Bombyx mori: one gene and its partner. The protein of the gene in region 2 interacts with the protein of the main gene of each other region in a biochemical or structural test. Links are inferred from orthologs where the notes say so. Each region holds a gene or a part of one and is shown on either strand. Other genes may lie near its edges.

Evidence for each region. The genes of interacting proteins can lie anywhere in the genome.
Region 1: of the proteins of TOR1 (region 2) and repressor of RNA polymerase III transcription MAF1 homolog, one has a biochemical effect on the other in vitro, tested with the Homo sapiens proteins (2 studies listed by BioGRID and IntAct). The link is inferred for Bombyx mori from reciprocal best matches to the Homo sapiens genes MTOR and MAF1.

The regions. Positions count from the first base shown.
Region 1 is NC_085110.1:12,881,044-12,884,993, forward strand, and holds the start of repressor of RNA polymerase III transcription MAF1 homolog, read left to right. Parts: upstream 1-1,150; 5' UTR 1,151-1,828; coding exon 1,829-2,034; intron 2,035-2,637; coding exon 2,638-2,758; intron 2,759-2,840; coding exon 2,841-3,118; intron 3,119-3,551; coding exon 3,552-3,615; 3' UTR 3,616-3,950. UniProt on the Homo sapiens protein: Plays a role in the repression of RNA polymerase III-mediated transcription in response to changing nutritional, environmental and cellular stress conditions to balance the production of highly abundant tRNAs, 5S rRNA, and other small non-coding RNAs with cell growth and maintenance.
Region 2 is NC_085109.1:10,806,750-10,810,711, reverse strand, and holds the start of TOR1 (target of rapamycin), read left to right. Parts: upstream 1-1,162; 5' UTR 1,163-1,297; exon of another isoform or gene 1,298-1,395; coding exon of another isoform or gene 1,396-1,645; intron 1,646-1,791; coding exon of another isoform or gene 1,792-1,910; coding exon 1,911-2,559; intron 2,560-2,651; coding exon 2,652-3,962. UniProt on the Homo sapiens protein: Serine/threonine protein kinase which is a central regulator of cellular metabolism, growth and survival in response to hormones, growth factors, nutrients, energy and stress signals.

The DNA.
Region 1 (3,950 bases), on a different chromosome or scaffold from region 2:
CTCACGCAGGTGCTCACTGGGCATGGTTGCTTCGGTGAGTTCCTGCACCGGATCGGAGCCGAGCCGACGGCAGAGTGCCACCATTGTGGTTGCGACTTGGACACGGCGGAACACACGCTCGTCGTCTGCCCCGCATGGGAGGGGTGGCGCCGTGTCCTCGTCGCAAAAATAGGAAACGACTTGTCGTTGCCGAGTGTTGTGGCATCGATGCTCGGCGACGACGAGTCATGGAAGGCGATGCTCGACTTCTGCGAGTGCACCATCTCGCAGAAGGAGGCGGCGGGGCGCGTGAGAGACGCGCAAGCCCGCCGCCGTCGAGCGGGGGCCAGGGAGGCGGATCTCGCCCAAGCCCTGGCCCTCTAAGTGTTTCGCGTCCCCTTCATATGTCGGTCTGTGGACCGGCGAAGGGGGCCTAAGTAGACGACGTGCAAGCTGCTCTGCACGCGTTTTACGCAAGAGCATCCGGGTGATGGAAGGCCGGCTATCCTCGACCCACGCTGGTTCTGACCCAGCGGGGTATTCCGTAGTATAACCCATTCTAACCGGCGCCATCTAGGCGGGCTCCGGATAGCCTGCCGACCGAGAGGGCTGGTGGTCGTGGTGCCGACGACCGCTGGTCCGGCGTCCCGAGGGGGAGGGTGATGGGAGAGATGTGCTCCGCACTAAACGCTTCACTTTCCCTCCTTTGCCTTTTCATGGGTTCTGTTACATGCGAGGTTCGGACGCGGGTTGTTGAGCGACAGGAGGTTTTAGTCAGTTCGACTCCGACATGCCCCGCCTTCCATCCCCAGGGGAGGGCGGAAGTCCGGCGATTTCCTCCAGACCAAAAAAAAAAAGCTTATATGATGTAGGCAATTCTAAATACTATTCTAGCTTCTAGCCACTGATTACAATAAGTAAATAATGATTACTTAACTATCAATATTATAATCGCACTAAAGAATGAGAAAAGGATTTTTCCTGAGACGAAGAAAGCTTAATAGCCACCTTCGTTGATGTCTGCTTCGACTGTGTTTGTGCAGCACCCTGATTTTTTCAAATTTGAGCCTCCATCACTGTTTTTTAAAGTCCAGACTAATGATATGAAATAATATTAGGAACTATTAAGTAAATGTAATGATGTAAACTTCTTACTTGAAACTATCAGTCATAAGTTAGGTAGGTAATTAGTAAGTGGTCTATTACATTTCATCCCATATCATCTCATCTCATCTCATTTCATTTCCTTTCATAATATCCTATTTCATATAAAAGAGTTTTCATTAAAATTAAAATTGACCTAAAGGTCTTAGTTACCAAGTCATAAAATCCCTTAAAAACTAAGTAGGTAGTCTATATTCTCTATATTGTTCGTGATTGTTGTACCTACTTGTGATTCGATTGAAGATTATTTTGTTTTGAAAAACTAAAGATAGTTTAGCTAATCAAATAATTTGTTTTCCAATAGTGATTATATTTAGCGACGATGTCTTCTATGGATTTTGGTTTTTGAAAATAACCGTTGTGTTTCTGCATTCTAAAAAGTGAAGTGACGCGAGCCATTGTGTAAACCCATCAACAAGTTTGTGGATAATTAATACTAGTACTGCAACTTCTAAAACCATCCTTTTCTCCTTTTTTGTGATGTTCCCGCATTTCATCCGCGCGGAAGAAGAACAGAAGTCGAATTTGATACCGAGTGTGAACCTTTTACACTCAAAGAGAAAAGGAATATTCATACACCCCACGGCTATGTACAGAAATAATTTATGGTGTAGTATAAATATAAATGCACCGATAATAACGAGCCTGTTGATCGGATAATTTGAACAGAATAAAATCAGAGAAAATGAAACTATTGGAAAGTGGTCGTTTGGAAGCATTAAGCAGAGCTCTGTCTATTCTGAATGGCGACAGTGCTGTACAAGGCCGCGTTGAAAGCTACAGCTGCAAAATGGCTGGCAGTGAGAAAGCTTTCTATAAGAAGTTTACTGCTGATGGAGAAACTACTCATAGTCTTCAAGCATTGTCTCCCCCTGAGAGTGTTACTTATAGGTAATCACATGATTACCCTGAAGTTACTTAAAAAAATGCAAGACAACACAGTATTTATGTACTGCACATACTGTAAATTGTTAACGTAGGAACATATAGCTATATTATTTACTTTTAACACTGTCCTAAATTACTTTCTTACCTTAGATAATAGCAGTGGGATTTATTAACTACTTTACACCAAATGGTTCTGGCATTTAATGTAAAGTAGTTAATAAAAATCTTAAAACATTAAGATGAAGCCTCAATTGCATTAGACAACCTTACTTTATACTTAGAAACAGAGAGAGCCTGGACAGTGTTCTCCTGTGACATATAACTAGGCCTATATAATAATCTACGTATAAGATATATATTTTCAAAAGTCCACCCGATTTGATGACAATATTCTAACTATAAATATTATTATTAATAATGTTATTGGTTTAATTGATAATGACATACAGTTTTCTGTGATTATGAAAAACATTCAAAATATTGGAAATAATGTAAGGACAATAAAAATCCTGAGATTAAACCCTAAAACTAGTTTTGATTGTGTATGAATTGCAAAAACTGAAAAGAACATTGATCATTAATACTCATATTGAAATATTATTTTAGCCGGAGCTTGTCTGGTGACGAAGACGGTGTGTTATGCGACACCATTTCAAGGAAAACATTGTTTTATCTCATTGCTACATTGAATGCTGCTTTTCCAGACTATGATTTCTCCATGGCAAAGGTACAGTATTATTAATATGTAGCAATTGAATTTAGTAATGATGATGTTCGTATGTCATTAACATTTTTATTACCTTTTACAGAGCAGTGAGTTCAGTGCTGAACCGTCATTGAATTGGGTGCAAAGTGCAGTTGATGCTGCCTTATCTGCAGTAGGTGGTGTGCGTTGGCGCCAACTGCGTCCAGTCTTGTGGGCTGCTGTTGATGAAGAAGTGCTCCTACCAGAATGTCGTATCTACAGCTATAATCCAGACCTAGCTACTGATCCATTTGGTGAACCTGGATGTCTTTGGGCTTACAACTTCTTTTTCTACAATAAGAAGTTGAAAAGGATTGTTTTTCTCACTTTCAGAGCTATAAGGTGTGTTTAATACATTACATCCTGATTTGTGTTACAATTAGTCATCATTTCTAAGAAGATTTTATACATTACTAGTAAAACCAGACTTTTGATTGGATGTGACTGTCATTTCTCAATAAAATTTACTGTTTCATACCTTTCACAACTCCTATTGGAAATTATGTACATTCTTGTAATGTAAAATTTCGAAACAACCAATATAATTATGTGTACTACTAATTTTAGTAAAATCAGTCCAACCATTTTTGAGTTTAAGTACACTGAACCTAAATACATATTAATGTATAAAATGATAATGTTTTACAACAAAATAAATAAATATTTTTTTTACTACTAAAAAACTTTCTAGTATCTTATGTCTGCCAACAAATCTGAATATACACTACTTACGTTTTACTATCATAAATTACTATAATAATCTTATTATTTGCAGCCCTGTTTGTGCAGCCGACTCTGGTGTTGATTTTGCCATGGATGAAGATGAAGATTACAACTGATAAACTCTTGTTTTTAATCAATGAAAGTGTTTTTCCGTTATGGATAATCCATTACTAGGTACATAGAGTACATAGATTTTATGTGAACTACTATTATATACAGTTGGAAAGAATATTTATTTATGGAAATAAAAGCAATAGATACTTTTTTAATGTTTAAGACATAAGATTCACACAACAATATAGATCAAAATATTTAAGTATGTACAATTCCTATTTGTGAATTCAGGAAAAGCATAAAGTAATTGTGTGTTTATAGTCTTATCATTTACTTGATGTTCAGTAATTACAGTATTGTAGTATCTTACATTTGATAAAATAATAATTTTGATAAT
Region 2 (3,962 bases):
CGCAAGTGTTGCTAACACTGGCCCTAACATCTACTGGTGGTAGGACCTCATGTGAATACTGGTGGTAGGACCACTTGTGAGTCAGCGTGAACCACCACCCTGCCTATTTTGGCCATGAAGCAGTGATGCGTTTCGGTTTGAAGGGTGGGGCAGCCGTTGTAACTATACTTGAGACCTTAGAACTTATATCTCAAGGTGGGTGGCGCATTTACGTTGTAGATGTCTATGGGCTCCGGTAACCACTTAACACAAGGTGGGCTATGAGCTCGTCCACCCATCTAAGCTTTGATGTTTAATGTGTTTTAAGCAAACACATACTATGTTGTTTGCTTTCCCTATTATTTTCGAAAGCCATAAAAGAACCATAAATGGCTTTGATGAAATGTCTATGACCCGAGTTGAAGCTGATGATCAATTTAACTTTGTCGTACACGAAAAAGAAAAAGATAAAAGTACACAAAAAAAATTATATCACACGGATTCTTCAATGTATCTAATTATAATAACTATGTATAGTTCAAAGTAGGGAAGCAAGGGTAGTTTTCCAATTACAGAGCATAATGCGACTCAGTGGGACACAATGCCGAATTATGCTGAAGCATAATTGGAACGTGAATTAGTTTTCAAATGCATCAGCAGAGTGCGCTAAGTTCAGTATTGAAAAAAATATATTCAAACCTCATTAATGTATAAATAATGTAGTGGTAAACAATAATAATTGGTTGAAAACTATTTACGGTTATTTTAAGTAATTTAGATTTTGATTATTTCATTAACACTTTTTTAAGTTTTGAGTAATTTTTATAAACGAGTTATAAGAAAATTATATACTTTTTAATTGAATCATCTTATCCAGATGATAGTGTTGACGATGATTTATCGAGTGCTTCGAGTTTAAATCAATTATTTCATTAACAAGTGATATACTTATTGAAAATATATATGATAATGAAACAGATGAGTTATTTGAGCCATTAATAAAATATCTGATGACAGGCAGTACTTTTGAGAGTGCTCGATTGTGCGAAGCGTTGCTGTAGTTGGACCATTCAACGTTGAGCATTATGCCGCATAATGTGCTGTAATTGGAAAACTACCAAGAAGATTTTTTTAAATACCTACATTTGTGAACCATAGATAATCTATCAATCCTGTGTCAATGGCCGAATGTTATTAACTTCATTTGTTTACATTTATCTTTTAATAATTTGTTTAAAAATCGTTGACTATCAATTAAGTCGACAAATATACAAACGAAATCATGACTAATAGTAATTTGAGTGAAACATTGATAGAGGTTTGAATTCATAATAATTTATAGCAGTGATGGTGATGAACTGCGAGTGTAATAGTTTGTTCTGAGTCTTTTAAAAAACAAATCTGGCTTTCCTTGAAATGAAAATTTCTGACAAAGGCGACAATATGACGAATCATCAAGTATTAGAGCTGATATCAGGTCTAAAATCTCGACATTCAGAAACAAGACACCGAGCTGTGCGAGAGTTGCTACATTTTGCCAAAACAGAACTGCGGGAAATGTCTCAGGATAGTTTGACCCAAATTTTAGATGATTTCAACCAACAGATACACGATATGACCACTAGTTACGATAACAACGAAAAAAAAGCTGGAATTCTTACTATAGGTACATGATAGAGGTTATATTTTTCTATTGGCCATGATTCACATGTCTTTAATGGTTCCAAATAATTAATCTATTAACAAATACAGAAATTTTGGAGTAGGTGGTGCTAATTTAAATAAATAAAATGTTATAAAATATCTTTTCAGTTTGTCTTATTGGAGGTGATACAGAGACCACCAAAACAAGGACAATACGTTATGCAAATTATCTACGAAATGTGTTTCCATCTACAGACATAAATCTCTTAGAATTGGGTGCTAAAACTATGGGACGATTAGCTTCCTCATTAGGAATTAAAAGAGGAGAATATGTGGAGACTGAAATAAAAAGATGTTTCGAATGGCTAGCTGAAGAAAGAAATGAAGGCAAACGATTATCGGCTGTTTTAATTTTGAGAGAACTGGCTATATCTATGCCATCATATTTTTTTCAGCAAATAAATGGATTCTTCAATCATATCATGAGAGCACTTAGAGATCCTAAAGATCAAATACGAGAAGCTGCAGCAAAAGTTTTGAGGGCTGCTTTTGCAGTAACCTCTCAGAGAGAGCAGCCAGAGCAAAGTAACAAAGCTCATTGGTATATTCAATGTTATGAAGAAGCAGAGACATCATTTGGTGATCATGCTATTAGAGAAAGGGGATTGAACAGGGATGACCATGTGCATGGAGCTTTATTAATTCTAAATGAATTACTCAGGTGCTCAAATGCAGCATGGGAGAAAAAATACACTTCTCTAATGCAAAAGCTAGACCCTGATTTAGATTCTCATGATGAAATGTCTTCTCTCAGTCCTAAAATTCAGGGTTCATGGTCATTGTCACATTATTCAGATGAAAAAAATCAACCTCTAATATTTGAATCCAGTATTTGCAAGAAATTAATTGAAGATAATTGTGAAAAAATCTCAGCTGGTATGAACTGGCAAAAAAAAATTAATTTGTATTTAGAAAAATAAATTATAGTGTCATTGTATCTATTGAGACTAAACAATTATTTTTTACAGATGTAATGGCTCAGCAAATATCAAGAGCTCATAATGTGCATCAGATGCTCCTTCTGTTAATACCTCGATTAGCTGCCTTCAACAAAGAAACTTTTGCTAAAAGACATCTGAAGTCAACGATAAATCATTTGATAACATTCTTACGTGGTAGAGAAAAAGAAAAGGCCATGGCTTTCACCACACTTGGCTTGGTTTGTGTAGCTATGGAATCAGATGTACAACAGTATCTCTCAAGAATTATTGATATTATCAAATTAACCCTGCCAATCAAAGAAACACAGAAAAAACGTAACGGATCTGAAACACCATTATTTCATTGTGTTACATTACTAGGATTTGCCATGAAAGAGAATGTAGCAAATGAAGTTAGAGAGCTGCTAGATTCTATGTGTTTGACAGGCTTAAGTCCACAATTAACAACTTGCTTTAAAGAACTAAGCAATAATTTACCTTCTTTAAAAAAAGATATAACTGATAAATTATTGAACATGCTATCTTTAATATTGAGAAAGAAACCTTATGTTTCTACCAACGAAAATCACAAAGGTGTCTTCACAACTGCTTTGCTAGCAGAACCTCATGATGCCAATAAATTAGTATTGGCTTTGAGGACTCTAGGTTCTTTTGATTTTGAATGGAATAACACTTTGATGTCCTTCATCAGAAGGTGTACAGATCATTATCTGCTGTGTGATCATCACGACATTCGGCTAGAAGCAGTAAAGACAGCTGCAAGATTATTAACGAAAGCTGTGGAGAGATGCGCCCAGATAAATTCACGAACTTTAAATTTAATGATTGATGAATCCATAGGTAAAATTTTGTCTGTTGGACGATCAGATTTTGATCATGAAATACGCTACAGAGTACTTGAGGTGTTTATGAATCCAGTATTTGACAGATATCTTGCTGTAGAAGAACATCTAAATTGTCTTTTTGTTTCTATTAATGACTCGAATTCTGAAGTTGGAGAACTAGCACTGTGCATTTTTGCAAGATTGAGCAATCTCAACCCAAGCTATACCACACCAACATTGCGTCAACTGTATGTACAAATTCTAATAGATTTGCAACATTCAGAATCTCCGCGGAATAAAGAAAAAGCTTTACGAATGATAAATAATATTATATCTCATGCTCCCACAATTACACGTCAATTTGTTGATACAATTCTAAATGTGCTTATACCGAAACTGAAAGAAAAGGACAGTAATTCCACTATGATATCTACAGTACTAAAGGCCATCGGAGATTTGGCAGAGGTTAATGGTGGTGGACATGCTTTAAATAAATGGTTAACAGAATTGATTT